Linked DNA regions of Diceros bicornis minor. The protein of the gene in region 3 purifies or fractionates together with the protein of the main gene of each other region. This does not show direct contact. Links are inferred from orthologs where the notes say so. Each region holds a gene or a part of one and is shown on either strand. Other genes may lie near its edges.

Evidence for each region.
Region 1: the proteins of GSK3B (region 3) and PRKAR1A purify together in Homo sapiens (affinity purification with mass spectrometry; 3 studies listed by BioGRID and IntAct, with this or other methods). This does not show direct contact. The link is inferred for Diceros bicornis minor from reciprocal best matches to the Homo sapiens genes GSK3B and PRKAR1A.
Region 2: the proteins of GSK3B (region 3) and GSKIP purify together in Homo sapiens (affinity purification with mass spectrometry; 10 studies listed by BioGRID and IntAct, with this or other methods). This does not show direct contact. The link is inferred for Diceros bicornis minor from reciprocal best matches to the Homo sapiens genes GSK3B and GSKIP.
Region 4: the proteins of GSK3B (region 3) and AKAP11 purify together in Homo sapiens (affinity purification with mass spectrometry; 4 studies listed by BioGRID and IntAct, with this or other methods). This does not show direct contact. The link is inferred for Diceros bicornis minor from reciprocal best matches to the Homo sapiens genes GSK3B and AKAP11.

Annotation. Positions count from the first base shown.
Region 1 is NC_080757.1:50,074,275-50,081,812, forward strand, and holds the start of PRKAR1A (cAMP-dependent protein kinase type I-alpha regulatory subunit), read left to right. Parts: upstream 1-4,336; 5' UTR 4,337-4,415; intron 4,416-4,694; exon of another isoform or gene 4,695-4,803; intron 4,804-5,244; exon of another isoform or gene 5,245-5,263; intron 5,264-7,538. UniProt on the Homo sapiens protein: Regulatory subunit of the cAMP-dependent protein kinases involved in cAMP signaling in cells.
Region 2 is NC_080763.1:41,849,419-41,857,330, reverse strand, and holds the start of GSKIP (GSK3B-interacting protein), read right to left. Parts: upstream 3,015-7,912; 5' UTR 2,946-3,014; intron 1-2,945. Other genes in the region: ATG2B (autophagy-related protein 2 homolog B), read left to right, coding at 3,532-3,693. UniProt on the Homo sapiens protein: A-kinase anchoring protein for GSK3B and PKA that regulates or facilitates their kinase activity towards their targets.
Region 3 is NC_080754.1:21,499,808-21,507,985, reverse strand, and holds the start of GSK3B (glycogen synthase kinase-3 beta), read left to right. Parts: upstream 1-5,181; 5' UTR 5,182-5,679; coding exon 5,680-5,767; intron 5,768-8,178. Other genes in the region: uncharacterized protein LOC131414749, read right to left, coding at 4,561-5,181. UniProt on the Homo sapiens protein: Constitutively active protein kinase that acts as a negative regulator in the hormonal control of glucose homeostasis, Wnt signaling and regulation of transcription factors and microtubules, by phosphorylating and inactivating glycogen synthase (GYS1 or GYS2), EIF2B, CTNNB1/beta-catenin, APC, AXIN1, DPYSL2/CRMP2, JUN, NFATC1/NFATC, MAPT/TAU and MACF1.
Region 4 is NC_080748.1:34,203,995-34,212,257, reverse strand, and holds the start of AKAP11 (A-kinase anchor protein 11), read left to right. Parts: upstream 1-4,992; 5' UTR 4,993-5,072; intron 5,073-5,569; exon of another isoform or gene 5,570-5,623; intron 5,624-5,909; exon of another isoform or gene 5,910-5,973; intron 5,974-8,263. UniProt on the Homo sapiens protein: Binds to type II regulatory subunits of protein kinase A and anchors/targets them.

The DNA.
Region 1 (7,538 bases), on a different chromosome or scaffold from region 3:
GAGTGGCCTTCTGTGATCTTCTAAGCCTAGGTTAGGTGTCCCTTCGGTGCTCCTCAACCTCCCTCTCCCCCCATAGGTTGGCCTGTCTGTGGAAAGCACCCATGTTCCTGCTGTTCCCCTGAGACTGTGAGCTTTTTAGGGTGGGGCCATGACTCATTCATCTCTGCATCCCCACACCCAGTGCCTGCAGTGTGGACGCTCAGGAAACATTTGTAAAAGCTTCTGGACCTGGGATCCATGCAGAGATGGGCTTCAGATCTCTGAGTCCCCTGAAATAAGAGGATAAATGTCTTACGTGTGTCTGTTTGGGCATATTTTCTGAGGAGAAAGCCCATTGTTTTCATGAGCTTCTCAGTGGGGACCATGACCAAAAAAAAAAAAAAAAAAAAATTAAGATTTCCTGGAAGAGGTATAGATACATGGTCAGTAAAATGCTAACATGGGGACAAATTAACAAGATTTGTTGACTTAGTCAGTTTGACAGAATCAAAGAAAGTTCCTGATTCTAGTCAACACACTCGAAAGGTCTGTGTGGGTGACAGACTCATCACTATTTTTTTAAAGCCTCAGATCCATAACCTATAGATATAAGGTGAGCATTAGTTAAAAATAGTTTAGGCAAGGGAAATTGATATCAGAGGGAGAATATTTAGAAGCAATTCATACAAATATCTGGGCTTGACTTGTTTGTAATGATTAATTTTACGTGTCAATGTGGCTAGGCCCTGGTATCCAATTTTCAGTCAGAAATTAGTCTAGATGTTGTTGAAAGTATTTTTTGGATGTGATTAACTTTTATATCAGTAGATTTTGAGTGAAGCAGATTACCCTGCATAATAGGTGGGCCTCACCCAATCAGTTGAAGGTCATAATAGAAAAGATTGAGGTTCCCCGAGGAAGGAGTTCTGCTTCTAGACTGCCTTCAGACTCAAGGTTGCAATATCAACTCTTTCGTGGATTGCTAGCCTGCCGGCATGCCCTGCAGATTTTGGACTTGCTGGCCTCCACAATCACACGAGCTAATTCCTTAAAATAAATCTCTTTTCTCTCTCTTTCTAGATACACGTTCTATTGGTTCTGTTTCTCTGGAGAACTTGACTAATACAACTCTCTATCTCTCTTGTGGAACATTGTGGATTTAAATATGCTATTTTGGATGAAGATATTTTTATTAGACCCAAGATTGCCACACTTCTGGTTTCATGGTTAATATTTTCAATTAATGCTCAAGATAAACACTCATTCCCCATGTAGATAAGCATTTGCCAGTGAGAAAAATAGGAAGACTTTTGGCATTTGAATGCTTGCTGGAATTGGGTTATGTCTGAAACCACAACCTTGGGTTGCACAGGAAGCATAAATCCTGGGCACCACCGCACACCAAATAGGTGGTGGTAGTCTGAAAAGGTCTCCTTGGAAATCTGAAATATGTGGATTCGTCCTTAGCCAATGGAAACCTTAGGCATAAGAAACACTAAGAATGGGCCACAAGGGCCAGCCTGGTGGCTTAGCGGCTGGGTGCGCGCGCTCCGCTGCTGGCGGCCCGGGGTCAGATCCCGGGCGCGCGCCGATGTGCTGCTTCTCTGGCCATGCTGGGGCCGCGTCCCACATACAGCAACTGGAAGGATGTGCAGCTATGACAGACAACTATCTACTGGAGCTTTGGGGGAAAAATAAATAAATAAATAAAATTATAAAAAAAAGAAAAAGAATGGGCCACAAAAGTGTTCCTTCCTTTTGTGTATTGGCTCTCTCAGTTCTACTTCTGCTTACTAAATGGACCACTGATATTTACTTTGCTTTAAGATTGTTTGCTATTGTTTTGCAAACATCATTAACAGCATTTGAGGAACTTTGTTTTAAAGAAAAAAGTTTACTTACAGCCCCACTATCCTAGAAACTTACTTTGTTGAGCTTTTCAAGGACACAGGCCAAAGGAAAGGCCTGTCAAAGGACCTTGGCATCAAAGGCAGAGTCCTCTGGAGAAGGGGAAACCGCACAGAAACGACAGGAGAGCAATTGTCATTTCTGAAATGTAATTTACAAGTTGTCATTCTCACAGCGGCCCGGTGGTACTGAAAGGGCATTCACACCATTTGGAAACCACTGTGGCTCTTTGGTTTTTCAGAACAGCTGTCTCAGTGAACTCTCCCCAGGCTCAACTATCTCCTGTCCATTTCCCTTTTTGTCTGTTAAAGCCCCAGCATATGAGGATTTGGCAGCCAGAACAAGGCTGAACGCGACTGACACAGGAAACAGGCCCGTGGCTGGACAGATGCCCAAATGCAGCTGAATGGGGTCACACACCCGTGCTAAGGCAGGGAAACAGCTGTCACTCAAAGCACTGGGCTTAATATCACCAGCTTGCTTGTTTCCTTATTCTAAGTGTCTTAATGGACTTAGGGAGGTAACACTACTGTTGGGACACAGTACAACTCAGTCTTAAGCTTGTAGTTTGAGTGGCGCTTTAGGAAGAGGGAGAAGTGGGAAGTAAACATTTATTTACTGCATCCCACACTGTGCTGGGCACCTTATTTATATATACTATGCTGCAAAGGAGAGTGAGTGATTAAAGATCACTGCCTGGGTGTGAGCCACACTAGCTGTGCGGCCTTGCGCACGTCACTTAACTCTTCATGCCTCATTTTCCTTCCGTAACAATAACGCAATAATAGTACCCACGCCATAGAGTTACTCTGAGGATTAAATTAATTATTATGTGTAAAGCACTTAGAACAGTGCCAGGAACATAGTAAGCACTGTATGCGTCTTTGCCATTATTATCTTTACTAGTTAATTTTAACAGAGCCCTGCTTATCCTTTTATGATGGAAGAAACTGAGGTTCATGGCGATTAAGTCAATTACCGGAGATGGCAGAGCCTGAAACCACACTCAGATTTATCTGACGGCAGTGTTTTCTTCTTAGAACACGATCGGGCCTGCTCAATGCTATCGAATTCCCTCTCCTGCTTGCCAGCTTAGGGTTCAGTTTATTAGACCTTCTTTGTACTGACGAGGGTGAAATCCTATACGACTGAGGCGCTGTCCTTAATCCTCCATTCCTCCCATCCCTGGCGAAAGGCCAGGTCAGCATGAGGAGGGGTCAGTGGGAGGGGAAACTTCCCTCCTACATTCTTCTGTGGGCCTAATCGGCCCTTGTGATGTTGCCTACACTTGCTCTTTCAGAAAGCAGAGGATAACTCTAACTAACTAAAAGAAATACTCTGATGAGCAGGACGCTTATCACACTGCTTGATTTAGGGGAGCAGTTGGCCTCTTAGGGCAGTGCTGTCCAAAAGAAATAAAACATCAGCCATATATGTAATTAAAATTTTTCTAATAACTATATTAAAAAAGTAAAAAACAAAGGCGAAATTAATTTTAATCGTATTTAACCTAATATATCCAAAATGTTACCATTTCAATCTGGAAACAGTATAAAAATTATTGAGATATTTATATACTTTTTTTGTACACAAACCCATTGTGTATTTTACACATACAGCTCTGGAGCTATATACCATGCGATATAGCAGGTACAGTCCGACACAAGAATTTGTGTCCTCCACGGGCCTTTTTCATTTAGCGACTTTATGTGCCTAAAACTGTCCCCGGCTTCCCCTTTCTTCCTCCACGGGCAGATACTCTGATGGTAAAAAATGGCTGAGGCAGTAAAGAAGTCGCTTTTTCCCCCCTAGTCATCCCTGACTAGCGCAGTTTTTGAGGGCAGTTGAGATTTCTTGTGTGGTCACAGAGGGCTTATGCCAATCGGCACGCTTTGTACTTCTCACCATGCGGGGTCAGGCGTGATGATGGGGGGTATTTCAGGTTCTAGAAGGATTGAGGCCTCTCTCGGACCCTGACAAAGTCCTTTCCAGTGTCTTGTGCTCATAGGGACCGTGTGGCCTCCTTTGACGACAGCACCTCCGGAGGGGAGAGCAGCTCGATCTGCCAAGCAGACACTTGGCGGGGCTCAGATTTCCTGGACCGGATGGCGGGCCCGAGCCCGGAGGCCCGCGCGGCGCTGGCCGGGCACAGGATGAGCGGCGGGGCGTGCGCATCCCGGGCATCCGCCCGGGCTCGGCCCGCGGCGCAGCTGCCGCAGATCCGCCGGGGCCGCCGCCTCCTCCGCGGACTGGAAAAGGCAGGAACCTTCCCGCCCCGGCCCCGCGTCCTCCCCCGGCAGGGGCCAGGGGGCGGAGTCGCCCACCTGTCATCCGAGACGCCCCACGTGGGTCGGCCCGGGGGGGGGGGGGTGGGAGTTGAAGGGAGGGAGAAAAGGCAGAGGCGGCGAGGGAGGCAGGAGAGTGGGGAGGAGAGGAGCAGAGGAGAGAGAACTCCCGATAGCCGCGCAGAGAGCTAGCGAAGAGCAGAGGAAGAATAAAGGGGACCCGAGGCATCCAGAGAGGAACAGGTAAGGAGGGGCAGGTGAACCGAAGGAGGGAAGCACCGGGCTAGAGAGAATGGGGAAAGGAAAAGACGGGAGTGAGGAAGGGGCTGCGGATAAGAGACCAGGTAAGACAGAAACGAGCAGAAGGAGAAAGATTTCAGGATGAAGAGGGGCGGGGGAAGACCTGGGGCCGCGGCGCCTTTAAGGTTGCCAAGGCGACGGCTCTGGCCAGAGCGAGGCGCATTGACGTCGGCAGCCGAGCGCTGATTGGCTGCGGCCAGGTCGTTTCCGGTGGAGCCGCGGCGGAGCCGCTATCGCAGAGTGGACCCTGGCTGGGAGGGAATCGCTGGGAGACCTCAGCCAGCTGCAGCCTCGCACCCTCAGCCCCGTGCCCGCCGCCGCCCGTCCCCAGGTGAGTGGGGTGTGTCGAGGGCCCCGGCGCGGCGAGCTTCGCCGCCCCGCCGCCCGTTTGGGGGCGCTGGACCGATCCAAGATGGCGTCACGGGGAGCGACCTGCAGGGGAACGGCCGCACCCCCTGCCCCTCCCCGGCCCCGGCGGGCGCCTCCCCGCAGGCCTCACGACCCGGGCCGCCGGCCCCGAGTCTGCACCTCCGAGGGCCCCCGGGCCGCCGGGGCGTCTGCTCCGGTGCGGGGTTTCCCCGCCGCCCCGCCCCCTACTCCTCTCCGGCGCGCTACCCCCACTCCGCGCCCCCAGGCCCCCGGCCTCTGCGGCCTTCCCGAGCCCTCCGCGGCCATCGCGCCCCCGCCTCCTCCGCCCCCGCGCGCCGCGGCCTCTTCGCTCGCCCTCCCCCCTTTCCTGAAGGACGACAGCTCGATTTTACCGGAATCCGCCATCGTTTCCCGCAGCGTTTGTGGGTGATCTCGAGACCTAGCCGTTCTTGTTTTCCTCTCTGCTGTCTCCTGCTTGTCATGCCTAGCAGTCGCTTTCCCTCTCTTTCCCGAGATTACTGCCCCCCCCCACCCCCCAGGATGATCTTAGGCTGGCTCAAAAATTTCCTTTTGTCGTCTTTCACCTCCCTTCCTTTCCTGATTTTTTTTCTCTGAGGGGTCCTCGCCGCCGCTGTGGTCTTCCGACTAGAGTAGGATGAAGGATCGGCCTCCCGTCTTCTTTTTGTGGCCATGACGGTGGCATAAGTGAAGTGAAGGGCACTTTTCTGTCCTTCCTCTCGAAAATACGCGATACCTGTTAACCCGTCCAGCTCAGTGCAGGTGTGATGCCAGACGACTTAACTACTTGAGAGATTCCCAAGAGATCGGTCTTTTCAGCAGAGCACAGAAAGCTAACACTTCCTTAAGATGACCGCAAGGAAGTGTTCCTGGCTGGTCTGGGGGGCTGCGGTCTGAATCAGCAAGTTTCTCACTGTTTTAAGTATTTCCTCGCGTGTAATCCTTTTCAAACTGAATTTTATCACAACTGAATTTCCAAAAGAAGGAATCTGAGTATTTTCTTATGAGTAGAGACAATGCGGTGGAAGTGTTAAAGTAGTCAAGTAATTTTTGGGCGGAGAAGCTCAATTGTTGGGCTCTTAAAACTAAGTACAAGTACAGAGTTAATCTAGGTATGTTTGATTAAAAATATTAAGACCATGAAATTTCAGTATTTGGTGGTTTATATAGTGACTGCGTTAATCTTGGGACATTTTTGTTAATGTGCTACCTTATTATCAGCGTCATCTTTTTGGTCTTTTTAATACATTATTTCAGACAAAAACCAATTTCATCTCTGAGACCCAATTCTCTCATTTCTATCAGTCAGAGACCTGATTTTTGAATGATTTCTCTGATCAGTTGAATACATGTATTGATATTTCTGAAATATGTCTGAATGTTTTGAAGCACAAAGGATCTGATTTATCATTGTTCTTGAGGGCCTTCAGTGTTATTTGCTATACAGAAAATTCTACTGAAGTGGATTCTGAGTTTATATGATTCACTTGGAAAAGTGGCTGGTATAAATCTGTCCTAAAGTTAATGACCCTTTTTTTTTTTTTTGGAGTGTCTATTTCTGATGTAGCAGCATGATTCTTTTTCCATGCCTCTAATTTATGTGCCTGTCAGGGAGCTACACACTTTCTCATGGTCTGTTAATTAGTCTACTCGTTATTGACCTTTATCATGAAAGTTGTCAAAACAAAATGACTAACAGTGTAGCACTTGAGCTCTTTACTCTGGTATTTCTTTCTCTCTCTTTTTAAATTTATAGTTTTACCTCAGTGGTTTTGTGTACATTATATTTGGAAAAGTCCGATTAGTATTGAATTCAGTTGCAGAGTGGAGGGCACCTGGATTTTATCTTCTCATCTTATTGCTTAGTACAGTAATTAGGAGTTGGAAGGAAAACAGTTTATGACTCTGTTGTTAAATTACTAAACTTTAAATTCCAGGGTAAGGTTAGCTGCTCATTATTATGTATCTGTTTACTTCACATCAAGGTAGTTGGAACCCTGTAAAATTCATTAAATGCAATTTATCTATTGCATCTTCACGTAAGTTTAAAATTTAACGTGTTTTGACATTTTCCTGTCCAAATCTTTTATCGTTTACTTAGCAAGGTTTTTTTGGTCTGTTTTATTTTTTTTCTATTAAGGATCTTCCCTCCTACCAGTGGGTGGTGAGTGTGTTATCATTTAGGGCTGGAATGTAGTAAAAGAGTGTGGAATAAAAGGTTGCTTTTAAAATTCATCTGAGGTTCCTTATGTGTTTTTAAAATTTTTGATTATACTAGTAGTTGGCTAATCAGATCCTCTGCTCCAGTGATTTCTTGGGAGACATTAGAACACTCCCCTGGGGTAGGCGTTACGTATAGGGAATGTCAGATGTTCTTCCTTGTGCTTACTTGCTGTCACTTAGAGCTAACTTGTGTGCCCTTGTAATTCTCTGTCCTGTTTACCATTTACACACTTCCCACGTCACCATGATTTCTTTTGCAGGGGGAGGACTGAATGAAATTCCCTCAAGGGACTGACTCCTCAGCAGCCCGGCTCTGCAGGGGATAGTGGCTCATACTTCCTCCCAGGAGCTGAGGTTATTGCCTCTCCCTGTTGCTGCCTGCAGAGCCTAGATCCTGCAGCAGGAACTAAATGAAACACTTCTTTGGAAGAATGCTATTTCTCTACATGTTTTACT
Region 2 (7,912 bases), on a different chromosome or scaffold from region 3:
CTGGAAAACTCTCTCAGCATGAACAAGAAGTGGTCAGTACGGCTTAGTATGGTGTTGGGCACACGGTAAGCTCAAGAAATATTATCTATTATTATATATTAAAAATAAAGTGTTTAAAAACATCTTTAAAGAAGAAAAGAGCTGATCCTGAAACTCAAGCAGTTTGACTAAATTCGGTGTTTTTATGTTACGTAGGGTGACTGTGCTGCTGCCTTGTGCGACCCCAAGAGCTGTGCAGTCTGGGAGCCCTAACATCATATTCCTGTTACCTCAGGTGCAAGTCTTAAAAAAAAAGTGCCAACATCATCTTATCGGCTTTGATTTCACATATAAACATGGATTTCTTTGAAGGATGGCCCATCCAGCCTCTAGTATATAGCTTCTAACCTGTCACTTCAAATCCTTTCACAAAATTCTGAAAAAGTTGACAGTTTGATTGGAAATTATCTTCACCTTCCTCACTTAATTAATGCTGTTAACATTTTGTGATAATACTTTGTCTTTGATAAAACACAAAAATAGCACTGTGATTTAGGGTGAGTTCGCACCCTATTTAAGCTAAAGATATAATCATGACAGCTCCTAAACCTTAACATATATGCTGAATTTCTTCTAGAAAGCATAAAACATATAAGACAACACACTTAACACTTTGAAGGGAGTATGTTTGTTACAAAATGTTCCAATTTTTATTTTCCTTTTCTGATATTTGAAATCTCAGGCATTCAATGGACAGCCTGAATGTAATTCTATATTCCAAGGGAAATCACTTATTTAACATATGGACTTGAAAGAAGTCAACTGTACCCATCCGCCAAAAGTCCAGTTCAAACCTCCCAAGGCCTTTTGTAATTCCCTGCCAAAAGAGATCTCACATTTTCATACCACTTTGTTTATATTCCTTTTATGGCAAGTATTATCATTATTATTCACAAACATGTCTTATCATCTTCAAAATATATCTGCCTACCAACTGCTTCTTACCATCTTCACTGCTGCTACTCTAGTCCAAGCCACTGTCATCCTTTGCCTGGATTATTGCAATATCCTTCTGTCTTCTTTCGCGTGGATTATTGCAATATCCTTCTGTCATCTTTTGCCTGGATTATGGCAATATCCTTCTAACTGATCTGCAATATCCTTCTTCTGGTCCTCCCACCCCCACACGAGTCTTATTCTCAACACAGCAGTTAGAGGTCAGATTGTCACTTGTCTCCTCGACCCCATTCACCCAGGGTAATGGCCGAAGTCCTTATAATGGTCTACAGGCCTGGCATGACTTGACAACCCCTCACCCCCTGTCTCCTCCTCTTTCCTTTACTCCCTCCTGGTGTTTCTTGAACTCACCAAGCATGCTCTTGCCATAGGGCCTTGCACTTGCTGTTCCCCCTGCCTGGAAAACAACTCTTCCAGGTACTCATGTACCTTGCTCCCCAGCTTTCTCCAAGTCTCTGCTAAAATGTCACCCTATTAAATAAGAGAGGTCTTTCCTTACCCCTCTATATAAAAGTGGCAAATCTTCCCCTCTCCATTTCCTTTATATTGCTTTATTTGTCCCTATGGCACTTACCAGCACAAGGCATATGATTTATTTGATTATTGTTTGTTTTTCCTCCCTTCAATAAAATACAAGCTCCAGGAGGGCAGGAACTTAATCTGTTCACTGCTGTATCCCCACACCTAGAACAGTCCGTGGCACATGCAGGCAATCAATAAATATTTATTGAATAAAGGAATCGACTTTTCACTCTAGAACATAAGCTCCTTGAAGGTTCTGCCTGATTCTTTACATTTTCACATCACCAGTTGTGGAGACTTTTATTTAACGGATCCTTAACAAATATTTTTGAATAAATGAAGAGCAAGGGAATTGAAGTTACCGAGAATGCTTGGGACAAGTCTACGAAGAATGAGGGGCAGCAACAATCCAAGCAACTACATACACTGGAGAGCACACTGGTTCTAAAATGAAAAAGTGGTTGTGGAAAGGGGAACCAGAGCTTTCTCTGTCGACATTTCTGCTCTGTGTTAGTAATCCTAAGGCATTCATGAAAGTTATCAACATCTAAACAAAATCTCCTTAAACAGGTCGTCTTCATTTACCATCCTAAATTAAACTATACGTTATCAGGACTCTGCTTAGGTTCGTTCCCTACTCTTATCATTTAAGCTTCATCACAATTCTCGGAGATAAGATATTAACACGCTCACACTTGGCAAAGGCTCAGAGAGGGCAGTGGCCGGTTCAAGGCGGCTCGGCTAATAAATGCCAGGGTCAGGATTCTGACCCAGGACAGAAGGCTTCCAGGCCGCTGAGCACCCGCACGCAGGCCTTTTCGGGTTGACTGAGTGAAGAGCCAGCTCCGCCCCTGCAGTTGTTGTCTCCTAAAAGGCAGAAATACGATTGCGCAGATTCCCAGAACAGCACAAACACTTCGCTCAGGTTTCTCAGGGGTCGGGAGGCTTTGGCACGGATCAGAGAAGGCAGTTCTGCCCACAAATGCCTCGAAAACTCAAGTTTCCTGGTCTTGGTGCAGCCCACCCAGGATGAAGAAAGCGCCCTCTGAACTGCAAGCCACTAGACACACAGTAACGAAACGAAGCTTTGGAGACAATACCTGAACGAGGCAGGGGACCAATAACTTGCCGACAGTGGGCACCGGTCAATACTCGGGGGGCGGGCGGGGATGCTCGAGGGCGGCTGCAGCTTCCCCGCGGCGCTCCGAGCGCCCGTTTCCGGGGTCGGGGTCTAAGGTGACCGGGACGGCCCAGGCCGGACCCGCCCCCAGACTCCTCTCGGCCGCCGCACGGGCCCCTTCCGCCGTCGCCCCTCACGGCCCGGCCGCTGCGCCGCGTCCCGCTCAGAGGGCCCCTGGCCCGCCCCCGAGCCCTCTCAGCGGCCGCCCGCCCGCAAGCCCGCGGTCACCCCCGCCCCGGCCGCTCACCTGTGCGCAACCGCTGTCTTCTTCTTCCGCCCTCCCGACGTGTCTGGAGCGGACCCGGCGCCGCGCCCTCTCCTCCGCCTTCGCCCCGCCCCCTCGGAGCCGGAACTGCTCCCCTCCGGGCCCTTCTCCCCGCCCCCCCGACCCCCAGTGTGGCGTCACTTCCGCCAGCGCGGGGTCGCGCGCCGGGAGCGTCCCCAGAGCCGGGAGCGCGCCTGGCGGATGACAACAAATTCTTTGCGCCGCGGTGGTGGAGGTGTCCCCCTCAGCCCCTGCCGCGTCTCAGCGCCCTCTCTCGCACCTTTTGCCTGTGCCCACTAGGACCCCCGCGGAAGCCCCCGGGCCTGGGGCGACGGGAAGTCCTCCGCCTTGTCCCCGCCAGGCCTAGCGCGGGCGGCGCAGGCGATGGGGTCGCCCTGAGGGACGCCTGGCGCCTTGAGGGCATGGAGGGGCCACCTCGGGCTTAGGCCCCGCCGCGGTCTGGGGACGCCGGCCGGGACCCGAGGCACCGCCGCCGCGGCCTGGAGCCGAGCCTGCGCCCCCAAGGCCAGAGCCGCAGCCCCCGCCGGCCCAGCTGCCAGCCCTCATCATGCCTTGGCCGTTTTCAGAGTCCATCAAGAAGAGGGCCTGTCGGTACCTCCTGCAGAGGTACCTGGGCCACTTCCTGCAGGAGAAGCTGAGCCTGGAGCAGCTCAGCCTGGACCTGTACCAGGGCACCGGGTCCCTCGCCCAGGTCCCCTTGGACAAATGGGTAAGAGCTGCCGGCGGCCAGCCGGGCGGGACTCGCTCCCCTCCTCGGGCGATTTGAACGAGTGTCATCTAAGACTGGTGACGTTCCCTGGGAATTGTTTGAATCCAAGTGTGGCAGGGCTCAGAGAAATGGGTTCAAGTCTTGTTAAATCTGTTTCTAGCAAGTTTGCGCCCCCAAATCACGTGCTGCGGAAACTGAACAGAGGTAGTGAAGTCTGCACTATGCGAATGGGTTGAGTCAGTGGTTTGGGGTCTGGAAGCTGGCCGGAAGGGGTCCATCGGAGGAGGTGACCAGTGCTGCCCCTCGGGGCAGGAGGGGTCGCGGGGTTCTGTGGCATACAAACCCCGTTTCATGCGATGACACTCCGGAAAGATTAAGGATGAGGAGGGCCTTTGGGGATGTCAGAATTCCCAGTTACTCCTTTATTTATTTTGGGTTGGCTACTCGAACGCCGCGGTCCCGTGACAGCGTTTGCCATCTGGAAGAAAGTTAGGTGCAGGCCTCTGCCGGTTTGCCTGCTTTTACTTGACGATAGGTTAACAAGGCCAGCCTGGGAATGGTTGTGGCCCTAGTAGTGCCGTTTAATTATGCCTGTTTGCTTCACGTGACAGATCGTAAACGCAGGTGTTGCGAAAGCACTGAAGCTGCAATTTTCAGACATTTTAAAACCTGTTATCTATTTATCCTCCAGAGCTGTGGGTTGACTCATTGTGTCTTACAGGTGCTTCATGTGTATTTCAACGCGCCGCGTACAGTTGTACCTGCATTTGTATGTTCAATGCATAGTGTTTTGCTTAAAGTATATTCAGCTCTGAGTTTGACAAGAATAGAGTGGCTTTATTTATTGCACTAGCGTTTGCTGCTTACGGTTTGAATTGGTTTGTACCTTTCTAGAATTTTGCTATCCTAAAAACATTCCTACACAGTTTACATTTAGGAAATCATAAACATAGGTGACTTTCCTATGATAGTTGTGCCAAACGAAAGGAAACCTTGTTTTCTTCCTGATTTAAGGAAGAAGCTTAAGTGTTTTTTTTCCTTTTATGTAAGAGCATTTTTAACAGAGTAGTGACTTCCTTAGCCATAGAAACCTAAAAAACTCAAATTATGGTAACACCTCATTATGACCTTTAACTTGTACCAATATGAATAAGCATATAATTTTATCAGTAAGTAGATGACTTAAACGAGAGAGGGTACACAGGATAGTGGAAAGAACCCTGGTTTGAGTAGCAGAAAGACCTAGTCCCACATCAGGCTAGCCCTGGCTGCCACAGTTAGCCAAGTGACAGTGCACATAATTCACCTGAATTCAATAAACATTAATGGAGTGTACACTCCTTGCCGGGCACGGGTGTTAGGGTACTGTATGGCTGTAATTCTTACTAGAAGATAGGGATTCTGATGGATTTTTTTTTTTAATTCAACCACCCATAAATCTATACTTTTGGTACAGTTATGAATAGGCTATCTTGAAGGAGGAATGTTGGACATTTATTAATTGTCTTTTGTGGGTTGAATGGCTTTATGCATTATTCTTTAATGACTTTTCTTTTAATGATCTATAAGGTGGGGTGTTATTTCCATTTTACAGATGGAGTTAAATAATTTGCCCCAAGTCACACAACTAGCAAGTGGTACAATGAGAATTCAAACCTATCTAATTCTTAATTCATTAATCACATGGCTTCAAGCCAAGGAAAGGGTAGTTAATGTTTATTGAGCATTTATTTATTTCAGACACTCGGCTAGGCACCTGAATTAGTGTGGTTTTGTTTAATCCTCATGGGAAATCAGAGGTGGTTTTATATATATATAAATTTTTTTTTTTTTGTGAGGAAGATCAGCCCTGAGCTAACATCCATGCTAATCCTCCTCTTTTTGCTGAGGAAGACCAGCTCTGAGCTAACATCTATTGCCAATCCTCCTCCTTTTTTCTTTTCCCCAAAACCCCAGTAGATAATTGTATGTCATAGTTGCACATCGTTCTAGTTGCTGTATGTGGGACGCGGCCTCAGCATGGCTGGGGAAGCGGTGCGTCGGTGCGCGCCCGCAATCTGAACCCGGGCCGCCAGCAGCAGAGCTAGCGCACCTAACCGCTAAGCCACGGGGCCGGCCCAGAGGTGGTGATATTTGAATTTTACAGTTTGACCTCAGGATCGTTGGCAGAATAATTTATGGCTAGATTTAATCTGAAGATTATGTTTTATTCTGCTCCTTGAAGGTGAGGGATATGCCTAACAAAAATGATAATGTCAAGTAAAGCATCCAGTATACATTTGCTGTTGCCGATTTATTGATTTATTAATTATAGTGTGCTGTGTTGATGACTAAGATAAATCTTGATGTGACACTTAGATATAAACTATTCAAAGTTTTGATTCCAAATTCAGTTACTTTTGACATTTGATTTTAATGACTGTCATGACTGAAAAAAAGATACCTCACAAAGATTCATAGATCCAAATGGAAGAATTGCATCGTTGGCAACATTACTAATGTTTCAGTTCTCAACCATCAGTTGTGCACAGGATTGTGTTGAAATTGCTGTGACGTTCCCTTCTTCCTTGATCTCAATCAGTTATTCTTGCTAATTGGAAGGTATTTGATTTTTATATATGTAAAAAATTAACTTTAAAACCTATTTTTAAAAACTCTGTTCAGAAAACTTTTAGATTCACTGGAATAATCTTTCCATGTTTTCAAATCTTTTATAATCTGTGTAGATAATGACTGAAAAAATAGTATTTTTAATAGATATATTTCAGCAACAAAATCATGTAACACTGGAAATATTTCCAAATATAATTTTTCAAAATGTTCTCCCCTTAGTACAAGTATCCTTTGAAGAGCAGTTACTTTCTCACTCATTATTTATTTTTTTTTAAACTTTTTTTCTTTGGTGAGGAAGATTGGCCCTGAGCTAACATCCGTTGCCAATCTTCCTCTTTTTGCTTGAGGAAGGTGGTCCCTGAGCTAACATCTGTGCCAGTCTTCCTCTACTTTGTATGTGGAACACTGCCACAGCATGGCTTGATGAGCAGTGCGTAGGTCCACACCCGGAATCTGGGCTCCCAAACCCCAGGCTCCCTGAAGTGGAGCCTGAGAACTTAACCATTGCACCATCGGGCTGGCCCCTCTCACTCGTTATTGAAGTGATATCTTTACTTTGACAAGATAAAGTGTGTTTTGTTTTTTGGAATGTACCTGCTAGGTAGCATATACTACTGGTAGCCATCTGTCATCACATAAATGGTTAGCATATCTAGAACTCTTCTCTTTGTGTAGAAGAAAATTGCTTATCATCTTTAAATTTAACTCGTAAACATTAGGCCGTTGAAAACCCAGGAAATCAGAAAGTTATTGTCACTTCCTGTCTCTTTACAAAGATTCTACTGTTCAAAGGTCTGCTTTTATTATGTAGAATATAGTATGCTCAAGTAAGTTGCAGTGTGCTGAAGGGGAGCATCCAGCTGAGGGCACCAGCCTTCACTCTTCCCCATGGTGGAACTGCTAGTCTGATGTATGGCTGGAGTGAGGGTGCCAATGCCTATTTGTATGTTGAATATTAGTAAAACTTTTAAATCTAAAAATGTGAAAAATTTAATATAGAATGTCTAATTTTCTTCTCACATCCCTGTACATAGATCATCTGTTTTTCTTTCTGGAATATATATACCCCCCTTTGGAGATCACTACTTTAAAAGGGCTTGAAGTGGGAGGGAGGAATAGAGACAAGGGGTTTGGAATTCTTCCGCAATTGGAATGGGCTGTCTTATAAGTTCAGAAGTTTTTTTCCCATTGAAGTGGTCAAAAATGCAAAATGTTGAAAGAAGGAAATTCTCTTTGGATAGGAGGTTGGATTTGATGACTCTCTTTCCGCTCCTTAGGACTATGACTTTATTCTTGTTTTTTTATTGAAGTTTTTTCATTACTTAGTTCAGTACATTTATTGAGCTCGCAGCATGTGCCACTATGAGGGGACAGGGAATATAGCAGCGAACTAGATAAAGACCCTTTTCTCGTAGAAGTTCAGCATGTCCAGGAAGATAGACGTGAACAGTTTATTACATTGAAGACTTTAAATTTCAATTTAATAATCTTTCTGTTGCTTTGCTATTTATACTGTACTGGTATGTATAATAAAATTATTTTACATTCAAGAAACATTGATTACTAGTTATTTGCCAAATGCTGTAGTAGAGACCATTGTTACCTT
Region 3 (8,178 bases):
TGATCTAGTAGAAAGAGGCTGGATTCAAATAGGCTCAGGTGTAAATCCCATTCCATCTCTGCCATTTACTAATTGTGTAACCTTGAATAATATACGTATTGCTCATTTTATCCCCCCATCTATTAACAAAAGGGCTAATAATACCTATCTCTTGGGGTTTTGGCAAGGATTGAACAGGCACTCAAAAAATGTGAATTTATTTTCTCTTCCTCTTAATCTTCACTTTGACATCAGAGGGTTTTTCTAGGGTTTATTACTAAACAACACTTTTTCATTTCATGGTATCTGATTGCAAGTATCTGGAGCAAAGAGACCATATCTTATTAAATTTTGAAGACCAGCACCCAACCACATTTAGGTGTTTAATATATGTTGGCCAAGTAAGTGAGGTCCTAGGGAGAGTTTGCTCATGGACTTCTGTTTAGAATTGCTGACTCTGGGTTCATCTAAATAAAGTGCATCTCATATCCTATTTGCTATCTTCATTATTAAACCTGCCTATATTTTCTTCCAGTTTCAATTAGAAACGCAGCTAAGTGATTTTGAGCAAGTCACTTACTCTACTGTGTAGTTTCCTCATTTGTAAAAACAGAATAGTTTCATAATAGTACTTCCTAAACTTCATAAACATAGTACGTGCTAAGTGCAAAGTGCTATACAAATACTTGTTATTACTACAGAAGCTAGTTCATTGTGCATTTTAATTTATAACTGTTATCCTGTGGACACACCCACCAACCTTTTTTTTTTTCCCTACTACACTACTTACTTGTTCTGTACCACCCAGCTTTCCTATATTTATCTTTTTCTATCCTTTTGTTTACTGTTACTGTGGCTCAGAATCACTGATCTCTGCAAGGGACCATCTGATTAGCCCTGGAGGAAACCAAAGTGTTATAAACCAAACAAAGGCATATGTTCACAACTAGGCACACACAGTTCAAGACATGAGGCTCAGACTTGAAGATAAAGCAAGGCACACCAGGAGAGGTGGGGACTGCGGTTGAGAAAGAAGTACTGAGCAGAGGCAAGGAACATGGGATCTGAATCCTGACTCAGCTGCTTTAGCCCTGTGGACCTCAGGTCAGTCAGGGAACCTTTCTGGCCCTCAGTTTCCTCATCCGAAAATCGGAGGTGGTAACAGTACTTACGTCATAGTATTATTATGAATTTGAGATAGCATGTGCAAAGCACTTAAGAACAGTGTTGGGCACATTGTAAACACTCAGTAAATATTAACTATTAAAATTATTATAAACTGATGAGTGGCTGACACCGGGTGGGAAGGTAAAGTAAGAGTTTGAAAGTTCACACAAACAACCATTGAATGTTAATTTCAGTAGTTCCGTACTTTCTCATAAACTTCTCCCTCCTTAAGTCCTAATTTGAGACTGAAATACTTTTTTTTCTATCAAATTTCCCCATCTTGGTCAGATTTTATTTTTCCTGAGGAAGATTCGCCCCGAGCTAACACCTGTGCCAATCTTCCTCTATTTTGTACATGGGTGGCTGCCTCAGCATGGCTGCCAACCCGTAGTGTAGGTCTCTGGGTAACTGAGCCTGGGCACCAGAGCACAGCGCACTGAACTTAACCACTAGGCCACGGGGCTGGCCCCCAGACTTTTTTTTTTTTTTTTTCTTTAACAGCATCAGTTCAAAATATTTGAAGGCGGTAATGGTACAGTTACTAATCATAACCTTAAGGTAGACTATTTTTGTACTTTATTATATACAAAAGAATAGCCATGCTTCCAATTTGTATAACCTAAACATTTTTTTGTGTGTGAGGAAGATCAGCCCTAAACTAACATCTACTGCCAATCCTCCTCTTTTTTTTTCCCTTTTTCTCCCCAAAGCCCCAGTAGATAGTTGTATGTCATAGTTGCACATCCTTCTAGTTGCTGTATGTGGGATGCGGCCTCAGCATGGCCAGACAAGCAGGGCGCGACGTGCCCGGGTCCCAATGGGGGCCGCCAGTAGCGGAGTGCACACACTTAGCCACTGAGCCAGGGGCAAGCCCCTAACCAAAACATTTGTTATTCACTTTCCTGCTGGTATAATTGGGAGTAGGGATGGGGAGGAAAGAGGAAGGCAGGATTTAAAGCTTTGCCTCACAGCATTTTAGGAACTAGTGGCAAAGGTCTTTAACAATAGTTCACATGGAGAGGCAACATTTCATCTGACAAAGTTGCCATGCACTGAGTTTGCTTTTAACATTCTTTACCCTCCTCCATGACAGCCAGAAACCTCATGTTCCCTCTTTTTTTTTTGTGAGGAAGATGAGCCCTAAGCTAACATCCATGCTAATCCTCCTCTTTTTGCTGAGGAAGACCGGCTCTGAGCTAACATCTATTGCCAATCCTCCTCCTTTTTTTTTTTTTCCCCAAAGCCCCAGTAGATAGTTGTATGTCATAGTTGCACATCCTTCTAGTTGCTGCATGTGGGACGCGGCCTCAGCATGGCCGGACAAGCGGTGCGTTGGTGCGCGCCCGGGGTTCCGAACCCGGGCCGCCAGTAGCGGAGCGGGCACACTTAACCGCCAAGCCATGGGGCCAGCCCTCGTGTTCCCTCTTAATTGCAAAGAACAAGAGCCTCTACTGCTCTTGGGCTATAAAACCCATGCTCAGGCTTGAGATGACAAATTAATTGCATGTTGGCCACATTTACCCTGGATGTTTTCAGTTTGGCCTGCAAGGTTTTGAAATATTGGTTGCCAACACTTAAAAATCAAGAGATTTCACATAAAAATACAGGTTTAGAATTTCTCTGAGGGGGAAAAAACCAGAGACTATCTGAGAACACTGGACCCACATTCCTGAGGGCAGCAATCTGCCAGAGCTGAACAGCTGCTGCCTTCAGTTAGAGCACGGACACTCCAATTTGCCACATTCCTTATCCTTCCCCATTGTCTTATACCAGGCCCGGTTTACTTATTTGCTTTACTTTTCTGGCCCCTGTAGGCATTTGACTTTAAAAACCCTATCTACACCTTTCCTGTCTTCCATCAAAGCTTACTTAGTTCTATCCCAAATCCCTCATCAGTTTTTCAAAGCAATAGCTAGGTAATCTGATCAACTATGGATATTTTTACATGTACTTGCTGGAAATCGTTGTCTTAATAGAAAGGGATGACTCTGCAGATGGAAATTACAGGCACCACGGGCTTACAATCAGGATGGCAACTGTCCATTCTACCTTCTCTGCTTCCAGACGTAGCCATACCTCACTGTCCCCAAGCAAACCAAAGGCACTGGTTCTCTGTAGAATGAACACTGGCCTACGTGTGACAGCTACTTAAATGGTACTTTCATAGATCACCCTAGGTCCAAAGGACCAAGGGTTACTAAGGGCTGTTCTGATTCCGTTTCCTCGGAAGCTTCAGGATATCCGGCCTGACGGCATTTCCCCTCACCTGCTTTCGAGCCCGTTTTGCGCTGGGCAGTCACGCCCAAGGAGCGCGCGCGTCCAGCATGAGCTCATTTCTCAGGGGCGTTTCCAGAAGGCCGGCCTGGCCGCGCGCACAAGGCGCAGCTGGCCTCCCTGTCTCAACCGCCCCGCCGCGGGGCGCGGCCGCCCAGAGGCGCTGCCTTTCTGGAAGCTTTGTCCCCACTTGAGTGCCTGAGAACTCGCACCCGGGGAAGACGCGGTATCCTAGGCGGAGAGGAGCCCGGGCGCGCAGACCTAGCCGCGCCCGCCGAGACCTCCCGTGGGTGGGGAGAGCCCCTAACCCTCTGCTCGCTCGAGCGCTCCGAGCCAGCCCCGCCGACCGCAGCGGTTTCGGACCGGCTGTGTGGAGGGCCCGCGCTCCTCATCCGCGGTTTCCACGCCGGCTGGGAGCAGCCGCAGACCAGCCCCTCAGCCACCACCCCGGCCGAGCTGCGCCCCGCTTCTGGGCCCGCCGCCGGAAGCCAGAGGCCAATCACATGGCAGCTAGGTCTTGCGATTGGACGGCGGTGAGCGCCGATTGGCTACGCCACGAGCTTCGGCCTCCCTCCCTTTCCCTTTTGCCCCCACGCCAGCTCCGAAGGTTCAGGCCAATCAGAAGGCGCTTTATAGACGCCCTCCTTTCGCTTTTTTCTTCTCCCCACCTCGACGAGGGAGGAGACGTTCTGACTGGCCAGGCTGTCCTCGGAAGCCCCCTTCTCTTCACCAATCAGCGAGGGAGGAACACTCCCAGCGGAGTTTTCAGCCAATTACAAAGCGGCCGCGGCGCCCAGCGGTGCCGTTTCACCAGCAACGCAGGGTTTCACCGTCCTTTAACTCTTCAAGCTTTTTCCTGAGGGCCGGCGACTCTGATTGGCCACTGTTGCCATTGTCGAATTTCTCTTCTACCCAGCCACAGAACAAGGCGAACCCACCTTCTCGTTCGGCTATCTTCGGCACTTTCCGCTTTTTGGGCGTGGATTTCCAGCGACACTTTGTAATTGGTTCCTCAGGTCCATCGGCTTTTTCCGGGAGGAGCCGCAAAGAAACGACGTCCGTGATTGGCTCCGCTCGGTCTTCGGCTTCCCAGCCGAAGCGGGCGGTCGCGGGGCTCGGCCGGCAATTCCTAGACGCCTGTTACGCGGGCGGCGGGGCGCTGGGCGGTGTAAGGCTGGGTGGGGGAGGAAGGAGGCGGCGGACGAGTAGGAGGGGGGAGGGGGAGTGGGGAAGAGCTAGGCGGCTGCGCAGACGGCGCTCCTCACACAGAGCAGCCCCCGACCCGGGCGAATGCGGGCTTGTGCTGCCGCTGCTGCTGCCGCCGCCGCCGCCCGGGCCGAGTGACAAAGGAAGGAAGGAAGCGAGGAGGAGCCGGCCCCGCAGCCGCTGACAGGGCTCCGGGCTGGGGGCAAAGCGCGGACGCTTCCTGAGCGGGCACCGAGCAGAAGCGAGGGGCGGGAGGGCGGCCGCGCTGGTGCCGTGGACGGGGGAGGGGGCCCCGAGGGACGGAAGCGGTTGCCGGGTTCCCATGTCCCCGGCGTATGGGGAGCAGTCGAGGAGCCGCTGCCTGGGATCTGAAGGGAGCTGCCTCCGCCACCGCCGCCGCCATGGCCGCTGGATCCAGCCGCCGCCTGCAGCTGCTCCTGGCGCAATGAGGAGAGGAGCCGCCGCCACCGCCCGCCTCTGACTGCCTCGCGACTCCGCCGCCCTCCAGTCAGCCGGATCCCGCCGCTGCCGGAGCCGCAGCGCTTCCCGTCGCATCTCCGAGCCACCCCCTCCCTCTCCCTCCCTCCTTCCCATCCCCCCTTCTTTTCAAGCGTGAGACTCGTGATCCTTCCGCCGCTTCCCTTCTTCATTGACTCGGAAAAAAAATCCCGAGGAATATATAATATTCAAAGTACTTATTTTCAATCAAGTATTTGTCCCCGTTGCACGTGATTTTTTTTTTTTTTTTTTTAGGATTCCTCCTCCCCCCTTTCTCCCCTACAAGGAAAGGGAGGGGAAAGAATTGTATTTTTTTCCCAGCCCCAAATCATCTATATGTTCAATATCCATACTGATCTGTCTTGAAGGAGAAATACATCGCTCGTTTTTTTTTATAGCTGTACAAGAGGAGTGAAAAGCCAAGTGGACGAAGTCTTTTTCTTTTTCTTGTGGGAGAACTTAATGCTGCATTTATCATTAACCTAATACCCCAACATAAAACAAAAGGAAGCAAAGGAGGAAGGAAGGAAAAGGTGATTCGGGAAGAGAGTGATCATGTCAGGGCGGCCCAGAACCACCTCCTTTGCGGAGAGCTGCAAGCCAGTGCAGCAGCCTTCAGCTTTTGGCAGCATGAAAGTTAGCAGTGAGTATTGATTTTATTTTATACCCCTTCTTCACCTCACCTTTAAAATAAGAAACCTTGAAATACCAGGATCTTAAGATCCTAGATCTCCTGATATAACCATCAGAGGTAATGGAAAAGCGCAAAAACCTGTCTTCAGTCAAGGATGAGGCAGCTCCCTCTTTTCTCCTCCCATACCTCCCCCGGTCTCATTAACCTTGAGTGCAGAGAATATGATTTTTATTTGGATGATTCGATTTGAAACACTTCTTAGAATTTTCTTGCTGGTGGTAGTCAGCTTTATCAAGTGCTTGAGTATTTCCATGTTAAAATAGTGATGGGAGTGTTTACTTGCTTATCCTTTGGAATAAAGAGAAGGACAAGACTTGATTCATAAACCATTATGTGCATTTGCAGAGTCTGTGTCTCTTTGAATGAGGAATATTGTAGTTAGCTCAGATCTCTGGGCTTATCATAGTTTTGTACACTTAATAGAGAGCCTTAATGTCACAGGCTTCTAACATTTCTCTCTTGCTTGTGTGACTATACGCAGTGTTTGTTCTTTATCCAGAGATAAACTTGCTCAGTGACCAGCAGTGGCGTCTGGGGGCGAGCATCGATTCCTCCCTTAGAAGGGGCGGGTGGGAGCTGATAGATACCAGTAACAGGAGTATGTCTACATGCATTGTATTAAATTGGATAAGTGGTTTAATATGTTCTCTCTTAACTTTTCTGCTTTGACATTACCGATCTACTAGTATATAATTTATGTTTAATCAAAAGGTAACTTGGAACTGAGTCTGAGTTTTGATTGAGGTTTTTATTGTCATGTTGCCACATTCCAAGTTGAATGTTAATTGTCACTGACTCATCATTTAAGTTCAATTTTGGGGTGTCATTGCATTCAGTATTTGTTAAATGATCTAGACTAAAGGGGTCCCTTTTTAGGACTGTTTAAAATTCTCTGGCGTTGGTTTCCTGTCGTATTTAGATAAAACTATAGACTTAGTTATAAGAATATGGATTTTAGACCTTTCCGTCATAGATTTTGCAGAGCACTGTGGTCCTGAATATAATAGGGATATTTGGGCTGTGTTCAGGGTTGTTGCTAGACTGTACTCTTGTCCCAGATTTGTGCTGAAAAGTCTGTGTTCTTGAGGTGTTTGGTATACTAAGTATCCGATATTCTAATGTATCTCTCTCTATTTGTGGATATGTTTCTGTGATATTTAATGACAGCTTATTTAAATATACTTCCAGAATTTGACAAAAATATATTGTTTTCTTATTCCTTGAGAAAGGGGCATGATGAGGGCAAAGAATACTATTTTGTTGCCTAGGAGAAGAAGAGAACTGAAGAACTGAGATTAAAAAAATGTACATGCTGTTATATGAAATTGATTATAACCTTAGGCAACATAAAATGATCACTTTTAATTGAACTCAGGATTTCAATTCATGTTGGCTTTTGAAACTTGCGTGAAACAGGGTAATCTAAGGTAATAGCTGAATGGGAGATTATTTTTGAAAGTTAATTTTTTTTTTGGTGACTAGCTAGTACAGAATGCAGGGTATGTGAAGAGAAAAGCTGACCATGCGTCTTTCAGGGAAGGGTCAAGCTTTCTAAGCACTTCATGGGGTCATTTAAAAGGAATATTTTAAAATTCAGGCGTAATTTTCAGCTATGATGAAGCAAATCTTATAATAGCTACTTAAGAGCCTCTTGTGGCACTGGAGTGTTTGTATGTTTTTCTCCTTGGTAATATAGTTTAAAAACCACTTGAAATCAATTTTAGGTAATTAATTTGTTAGATCTGTTTCAGAGAGCCAAATAGAATAGCTTATAATGTTAAAATTTTGAGTTTTTTGTTTCCATGATTTTCTTTGAAAATGACTCCTTAATTCTCCGTAGTGTGGATGTTGACTGAGGATGGAGTAACTTTTGTAAAGTCTGTAGGTTAAAAGGTGTGATTTTCTATTAACATATAGGTCAACTTAACATTTAAAAAGTTGGAGTTCGACGCTAATTATGTGTTTTTGACAACCTTGACTTGAAGGCTTTTTTAGAAGAAAGGGGAATCGTTAGGCGTTTGTTAGAGTGCTAGTGTTCTAAGGGACCCTTATTCAAAAGAGAGACAAGTAAGAAATGATTGTCTTTGGCCTCAAAAGCTTATCATTTAGTTTTAGAAGCAGGTTATGGGACAAAATAGGAAAACAATAGCATGATGACTGAAAGATTATAAATACAAATAGAATGTTTTGTTCAGAGGGACAAAGAATAAAGGGATGAGGCAGATGGGTTGGAGAGGAAGTGTGTTTTAAGACAGGTGTTAAAGGAGGCGGTAACTTGAATTGATAGAGAAGCATAAAGGATTCTTGATGGAAGGAATGAACAGAGGCATGGAGATGGCGATTTTTGTATGACAGATAAA
Region 4 (8,263 bases), on a different chromosome or scaffold from region 3:
TGGCTGATAAAATTATAAATTCCACATTTTTTCCATTTTCAGAATGTTTTACATTGGTTTATTAAGTATTATTAAATTAAGTAATGCATGTAAAGCAATCACCAGAAAAGATGGTCTTCTCCATTATCTTTTCTTGTATTTTTCAATGTTCTACATAACGAATGTGTATTAATTCATTAGCATAAAAAAACAAAATCCCAAAACTGAGCAACGTGGAAAAGAAGGACTTTACATTTCTCTTTTACAAGTGAACTGCCAGCTGGGGCCATCACTCAGGCAGGAAACAGGAATTCAGCAAGTGGGCCAAAGGGAGACTCAAGTTTTCAAACAGGAAGCCACATGACATGGAATCTGCTTCTGGCTGTCAGAGGTTGCTAGTGTAAAGCTCCCAAGTTCCTGGGGAAAGATGATACCTGCCTTTGTAGTCAAAAGGTCATTGGGAGGATTAAGCTGAGAGGCTAGCTTTGTGGAGTATGCTCAGTTTCACTGAAAGGTAGAACTAGACTGAACCAGCAAATTTTAGTCTGAACTATGACATTTAGTGCCCCATGTGTTGCTGGGTCATAATTCTTTCATGTGCATATAACCCAAATGTCTTGGCTACATTAGACTATGTAAACAAATGAAAGTAACATTTCCATTAAATAGCAAAATTACATTGGAGGAGACAGCATCAAGGTGATTGCTAAAAATTAGCCCACTAACATGTTCCCTGGGGACATGTGAGGCGTTCCTAGGCATAATCTTAGGTGCACTTACACACAGCCTGTGTTCTCTGACTTGTCACACTGCTGCCTTAGCTCCTTAGTACACCACTGGCCTTCCCCTCTCCACACCTCCCTTCTGTAGTGTCCCCTGCCCCGACTTGTGTCCCCTGCTCCCCCATCCCAAGCATGGGATAGGCCTTTCCATTAATCCCCTTACCACAGCATAGACTGGGCTTATAACATTGCAGACTTTACTGAAGACTCCTAGTGTTAAAAAAAAATCATTAAAGAAAACAATTTAAGTGATACAAATAAACTTGAACACTTCATGAAGCGGACAGTCTCCATTCAGAGAACTACAAAATGGGGCATAAGGCAGGAAGCTTTTATAGGATAAAGAATAAAAAGCAAGGAAGAGAAAAATAAAATATCTGATTGCCTGGGGCCACAGAGTTAACCTTGTTTCCGGTCAGAAGGAACAAGGAAATGAGTATAGAGCCCAGAGTTGGCTTGGCCTGTGGGGATTGGCTGACTGGGTATGCCGTGTTTCTGATGCAGTGAAGCATTTGCAGGGACTTGGGAAGTTAAGTTGTGGTTTGCTGACATCACACCTGGGCAGGAGCGCCTCCATCCTCCTTTCCTCTTTCCCTCTCTTCTTTCCCTTTTCTTTCTTCTTTTTTTCTTTCTCTCTCTCTTTCCCCTTCCTTCCTACCTTCCTTCCTTCTTTCTTTCTTTCTGCCTGTCTCTTTCTCTTTCTTTCTCCCTCTCCCTTCCTCCCTTTCTTCTTTCCTTTCTTTCTGTAGTTATTGACTAACTAATAACACCTACCATATGCCAGGCATGTGTAAGTAAAAACAGATGTGGTTCCTGCTCATGAATCCTACAGTCTAGTAGAGGAGAGAGACATTAACCAAATAATCATTCAAATGAAAATCATTATAAATTCATCAAAGCATTGAAGAAAATTACAGTCCTGGGTAAGGAGGAGCTTACTTAGTCTGGGGAGTTAGGACAAGAGTTCTTGAGGAAATGAGAGTAGAGCTGAATGCTGAAGGATTCACGGAAATTCAGAGGCTAAGGGGGATGGACAGAGAAAGAACATTTGATACTGAAGGAAGCAGGACAGGTCTGGCCCTATTTTGAGGAACTGAAAGTAGGACTTCTGAGAGGGAGAATGATAGGAGAGCAGAGGAGAAAGTTAGGTAGATCATGGGGAGATAAGAAACCACTGAAGGGTTTTAAGCAGGGGACTGACATGGTCAGATGTGAATTGCCAGAATACAAATGCCAGCCTTCTGGGGCTAGAGTGCACATACTTCAAACAGCAGGCAAAAAAGACAAAGCTAGGAGCAAAGTAACTGTGCTAGGAAAAGAAATATGGACTTTGTAAACTGGATAAATTTTATTTTTTAAAGTATTAAAAAGGAATAAGCAACATCCACACAAAACTGGTATACAAATTTTCAAGCAGCATTATTCACAGTAGCCAAAAAGTAAAAACAACCCAAATGTCTATTAACTGATAAACTGATAAATAAAATGTGCTGTATCCATACAATGGAATCATTATTCAGCGATAAAAAGAAATGAAGTACTGATTCATGCTACAACATGCATGACCTTTGAAAACATTATGCTAAGTGAATGAAGTGAGGTATAACCAACCACATATTATATAATTCCATTTACATGAAATTTCCAGAACAGGCAAATTTATAGAGACATAAAGCAGATTAGTGGTTGCTTAGGGTTGAGGATGAGGTGGGGGATTGACTCCTAATGGGTATGGGGTTTGAGGGAGCAAAACTGTTCTCAAATTAGATTTTGGTGATGATTGCACAACTATGGGGATATACCAAAAAACACTGCATTGTACACTTTAAATGAGTGAATTGTATGGTATGTGGATTGTATCTCAATAAAGCAGTTAAAAAAAGAAAATAATTTAAAAAAGAATCCAGGAACTAGGGACATCTATAGAAAGGAATCTCAATCCTAAATTTCTTCTTGCTTTATATTCGTTGTAGTCCAAATAATTGTAGCTAGCAAAAGAGACCACAAGGACTGTCCTGCTAGGGTGAACTGGGAGGATCTCGGGCTCTATTCATACATGTTAGGACGGTAGAGTTGAGTCCATTGTTCATCTAAATTAGCAGTACCAAGCAGCTGTTTCAGTTAATCATTATAAGAACGGCAAAAAACACTCAAAAGAGTATTCAGTTCTTTCAACATTTTAAAAGAATGGTCTTAATTTGTTAAAACAATACCTTTTCTCTTTTTAGCATTTTTCCTTTTAAAAAGTAACCCTATAATGTTTCTTGAAATCTTATTTTCATTAAAATTAAGGTGTTAGCTTAACGTGAAGATAATGCCTCAGCTCTATTTTCTATTTCTTAAATCTTGATTAGGAACATGTGAAACATTACTTATTCAATACTACCTAGGTTCAAAATAGCTACCGAGAAAGGGAACAGGAGGTTGAGCAGGTGGCAATGCTTCCATTTTCACACTCTGAGAAGGCCAAGATTTCTTAGGGAAGCATTCCTGGTATCTGTATTAATCAGTTTCATAGTTCCTCAGCCGGTGTGTGTGTGCGCGCGTGCGCGTGCGCGAGTGTCCAATTTCATTTAGCTTGTGCTGCTGACTCTTATCAGGTTTTTATAAAGATTCTTTTCATTTCCCTTTCCAGCTTCCGTCTTACTGGTGTGTGCATGCCAAACTTAACCACTCTGCGTGTAGGCTAGTTAGATTGCCTTGTTTTGTGTATGAGGAAGCTGAAACTCAAGGATGATAAGGTACCTTGATTTGGCTGCGTCACCAATGAGAGGTCTTCCAGTTGGAACTTGAGTCTCCTGATTTCTGTTTTTTTTAGTGGACATCTTCATTTTCCAGCCTTCAACCTCTATCTTTTCAAATCTTATCCTTAGGAATAAATTTCTGCATTGAACATCACTTTATGTTGCTTTTTCCTAGAACTGACTTTTAGACAGAAGAGGTGGTTATCTGTGTGGTGTAACTGGAGGGAAAAAAAATCAAAAGACACATTCCTTTTGGGCCATTTGTTTTCCCAAGTAACAAAAAAATTCCCGTTTATTTCTCCTATTGTAATTAAATAGCAGTAACTGAAGACGTATCTAGATGCTCTTAACAAAGGCACAAAACAGCACCAGAGCTCTGACCTAATGGATTTTAGAAGAGGAATGTCCAAGTCGTTGGAAATTAAATCTTTCAGGATTGTCTTTCTCACGGACTACAAGTCTCCTGATATCCCAGCTTCCTCTGTGGCCTTCTTAAGATATTCTTTTCCGGGAAGAGCTTTAAAAAATAAAAAAAAAGTGAATCATAGGTGTCTCTCTCCTATTTAAAACTCTCCAACGCTTTCCATTGCACTTAGAATTCTAATTCTCAATTTCTTTCCTGGCTTACAAAGCCCTACAGGATCTGGCCCATGTTTGTTTACTTCTCCAAGCTTATTTCCTCTTACTTTCTTGTATTTTCCCCCTCAAACCCCATTTAGGGCCTTTGAATTAGCTGTTTCCTTTGCCTGGAATGCTCTTTCCTCTGATATTTGCATGACCGTTATACAAATCACTGCTTAAATATCTCCTCCTCGAAAGGGCCGCCCCTCAAGTAGCCACCCAATCACAATCACCATCACATCATTTATTGTATTTTCTTTGCATACAGCTTAACAATAACAGGTTTTTTCTTTCTTCTCTCTCCCCCTCCCCCATAAGCCCTCTAGAACCTACACTTGTCTTCATCGCTGCTCAATGGACAGCCTCGAGTAGCGCCTAACAAATACAGGAGCTTAATAAAAATTTGTTGAGTGAAGAAATGAACATACGAATGCTCCCTGTTTTTCCTGCCCCTCTCTCCCAAACAGGACAAAACTCATAATGAGGATACACTGAAAAATGTCTTTCTCATCTATCAGGTATTAACACCCTTGAGAAATAGATGTCCTTGAGGAGACTGTGCAACTTGACGGGACTAGCCCTTCCTATTCTAAGTGGAGAAAATCGTATGTTAGCTTTTCATCTAGGGCTGGGTTTCTCCGTGACCCATGCTTTACTTCCGATTCTGATACCGCGTAGAGACGCAACGGTGAGCACTAGGGCCCGGAGATCCCTCGATGCTTTGTTGAGGTTCGGATAGGGCCGCTGGCCTGGTGCGCTGTGAGTGGTCCTCCCTAGAGATGTTGGGGAGAAGGGGCGGAGCCACCCCGAAAGCATGAGCCTTACTTGGGCCGTCAGATCTGCGGGGCTGCCGCTTTGGGGCCCCGGGAATCAGAAGAGAGCAAAGCTCGCCTGTGGCGAAGAAGGAGCCCCGCTGACCCCAGGCGGTAAGACCAAGGGGTCGAAGGTAAGGAGGCAGGGCCTGAAACCAAACCCGCAGAGCAAGCCACGGCTTAGGTATTTTGCCAGGGGAAAGGGTTAAACGGTTTCCAAGGTAACGGACCAGGAAGCGCGCAAGACGTCCGCCGCAAGTTCGTAGGTCAGACTCGAGTTTAAAGCTCCCACGGCTGAGCGGATTCCGGCCAATGGAGAGGCTGCCTCGATATCACGTGACGCACGGGGCCGAGCGGCTAGCTGCCTCGGAGCACGTGGGAACGTTTTTCCTGTTCCTTCTTTGCTTTTTAAAAAGCCCACCCACTTTTGCGCGGGCTTGGTAACGGAGGTCTTCTCGCGAGAGGCGCGCTCCCCTCTCGCGAGAGTGAGTGGGAGGCGTGGGGACTAGGTGGTGTAGCGGGCTGGAGCTGCGGCGGCGGAAGGAGGGGGTGGGCAGGGCGGGGGCGGGGAGGGGGAGGGCTGGGGGCCGGTGCTGGAGGGGGCGTCTGCTTGCTCGGCAGCTCTCGCGACTGGTCGTTGCGGGCCGGTTACGTGCCTGTGAGTTGCGGAGGCTACGGCCCCCAGGTGAGCCGGGCGCGGATCGGCCCGCGGCGTCAGCAGCGCGTTGGCTGGGGTGGCGGCAGGGTGTGGGGCGGCGATTGATGGGGCGGCCCAGCTCGGGCGCCCCAGCCCCTGCGCCTGCCCGCAGTCCCTGCTCTGACTTCGGGGCTGTTCAAAGCTGCGCCTTCGCTCGGCGGTGGGAGGAGGAGCGGGGCGGAGGGAGGAAGCCCAAGGCACTGGGCCGGGGGGAGGGGAGTGTCCTCGGGCCCGAGTGGGGTCTTTCTGGAGTCCGAAGTGTGGCGTTGGGGCTGCAGCCCTTGAATGACAAGCTCAGTTTCTGACCCCAGAGTGGGCTTCAGAGCCGGGTCCTCTCGGTGAGTGGTGGTGTGTGTGCTTAGCTTGTGTTGGTGCTGCGCGCACAGGAGCATATGCAGGAGGAGGAGGGCGTTGCACTTTGTCCCCTAACAGCATCCTTCACTGTCAGAACCCCTGAGCCCTGGAACCGGGCGCACCCCAAATCTTGTGACAGAAACGGAAGACGTCAAGCCCGTCGGAGTATTGATATTGGGATTTGCTGTCAGATTTCCCCCAAGGCTGTTAATGGCTTAAATACAGGCCATGCATATTCCAAGTGCATTGGGTATACCACTTCGATTATTCCGGGCACCTAAGCTGCTTTATAAAAAAAAAAAAAATGTAGATACGACCAAAGTATTTAAAACGTTGGCCAATGACAATGGTAGTAGCATCTAAACCACCACAGTGGGTGTGACTTGGTGACAGTTCTTTACTTCTGCTTTTCGTCTCTAAAACCTTATTAAACTGGAAGTGGTTTAGCTTAAGATGTTAAAGAAATTTCAACGTGAGAAATACTGCTGAGACGTATCTAATGGTCTTAGTGCAAACCACCGTTAAAAATTCCGCTTCTCTTTTCAGCTTTGTAATTATGCAGTCCCTTGCAAAACATGTAAGCTTTCCTTAGCTTCTTCCCACCTTGTTAGGGGTGTTATATTGATTGATACTGTTTTTGATATGTCTGGAAATATCCAGAAAATTCAGAGTACTCGGAAAATATAGGGTACTCAGTCATGCAAAGATGATTTTAATGTCTTGTTTATAATTTTAGGGTAAATGGCAGCTCAATTCTCAGCAGGATTAGTGTCAGTTAAAATAGTGCAATTTAATGAATCTTTTAAAATACCTGGTCAAATAGTATTTGTACAAGTAGTACTATTCAAGTAGTACTGGTTATACTTTTTTATGTTCCTTCTGGCAGAACTGACCCAAGGGTTGAAGATGAATTTCACTGTTAATTGTAGCTGTGAGTAACAGAGCAGTTTATGAGAGATCAGAGAATGTAAGGCAATCAGAACAAATGGGTTCCCAAGCTGACTGGTAACTAGTGATTAGTGTATGTACCCACGTAAGTGAACTATTGTTATGGGACTTGCCCAAGACCCTGAACCACAATGAGGAGTTCCCTAGCTTCCCAGCTGCTGGAGTGAGTCTAGAAGCTGAAGTCCTCCTTTGCTTTTAGAGGCTGGAAGAAGGATAGTACATTTAATGTTGCTGGTTTTTTTTTTTGTTTTTTTAATTTCAGGAACTTACTGTCTGGAAAAGGAAATCAAATCAGATGATACATTATAGGTCATTTTTAGGGAAATTTCCAGTTATAAATAGGCAGAGGAGTTCTGTCTATACTTGGAGAAAATGTGAAAAACTTAAGAAATGTCTTTTTGAGAATGGGCAAAAGGGACCAGTCTAGATTTAAAAAGTTTTGTTCCATTCCATCTTGGCAAACTGATTTTCAGATATAGAAAAATAGCATTTTTTGCTGGTCCTTACGACCTTTTGGCAAGGGTTTCAGGCTTTTAGGATGTAGATATTTGTTTTGTCTTGCTTTTGAAAAGAAATTGAAGTAACTTTGGGTAGGATAATTATTTAGGTAAAATGAATTTATTCTTTTTCTGTGAAGTGGCCTCCATTTTAGTAATAAAATCACCCGCTTGGAGGGAATGAGGGGTGGGGCAGGTCAGGAAAAGATTAAGCTTAGCCTAGGCTTTAGTTAAGGGTGTATAAACTGGTAAAGTAGGGAAAGGAAAGAAAAATACTTTATCTGTTTAAAAACAGACCAAACAGATTCAAATGTCTTCATTCTGCTACTCATCTTTATATATAAAAGTTCATTTTATTTTTCAGTACTTAAGACATTTCAAATGTATAGATTAGAGACTGGACAGGATAAAAGGAGAAAACATTTTTGGATTAATCTGAGAATGTTTCATGGGAAAGAATAAGATAAATGGCATGGTGGCCTGGAACACATTGGGTGTTAACTTGGGTGAAAATGAGGTATAGTGAAAATAGTGAAAAGAGTTCGGGTTTTGGAGTCAGGCAGCTCTGTTAGTTAATATCACTGAGCCCCTTTTTCCTCATGCCTGACATGAGAGTTAAAATACCTCGAAAAGTTATTTTGAAGTACATAGTAGCTGCTTACTCAGTATTTTTTCTTGGACCTCTTTTAATGGCTTGAGGGTGATTTGATTGCAAGGAAGAAAAACTCATTTGAATTAACTTACTTAAAAAAAGCGTTTTTCATACAGTTGGAGGACTACCTCTGAAGTCCATTGCATGAAGTCCAGCTCAGTGTCCTGGGAACCAGAG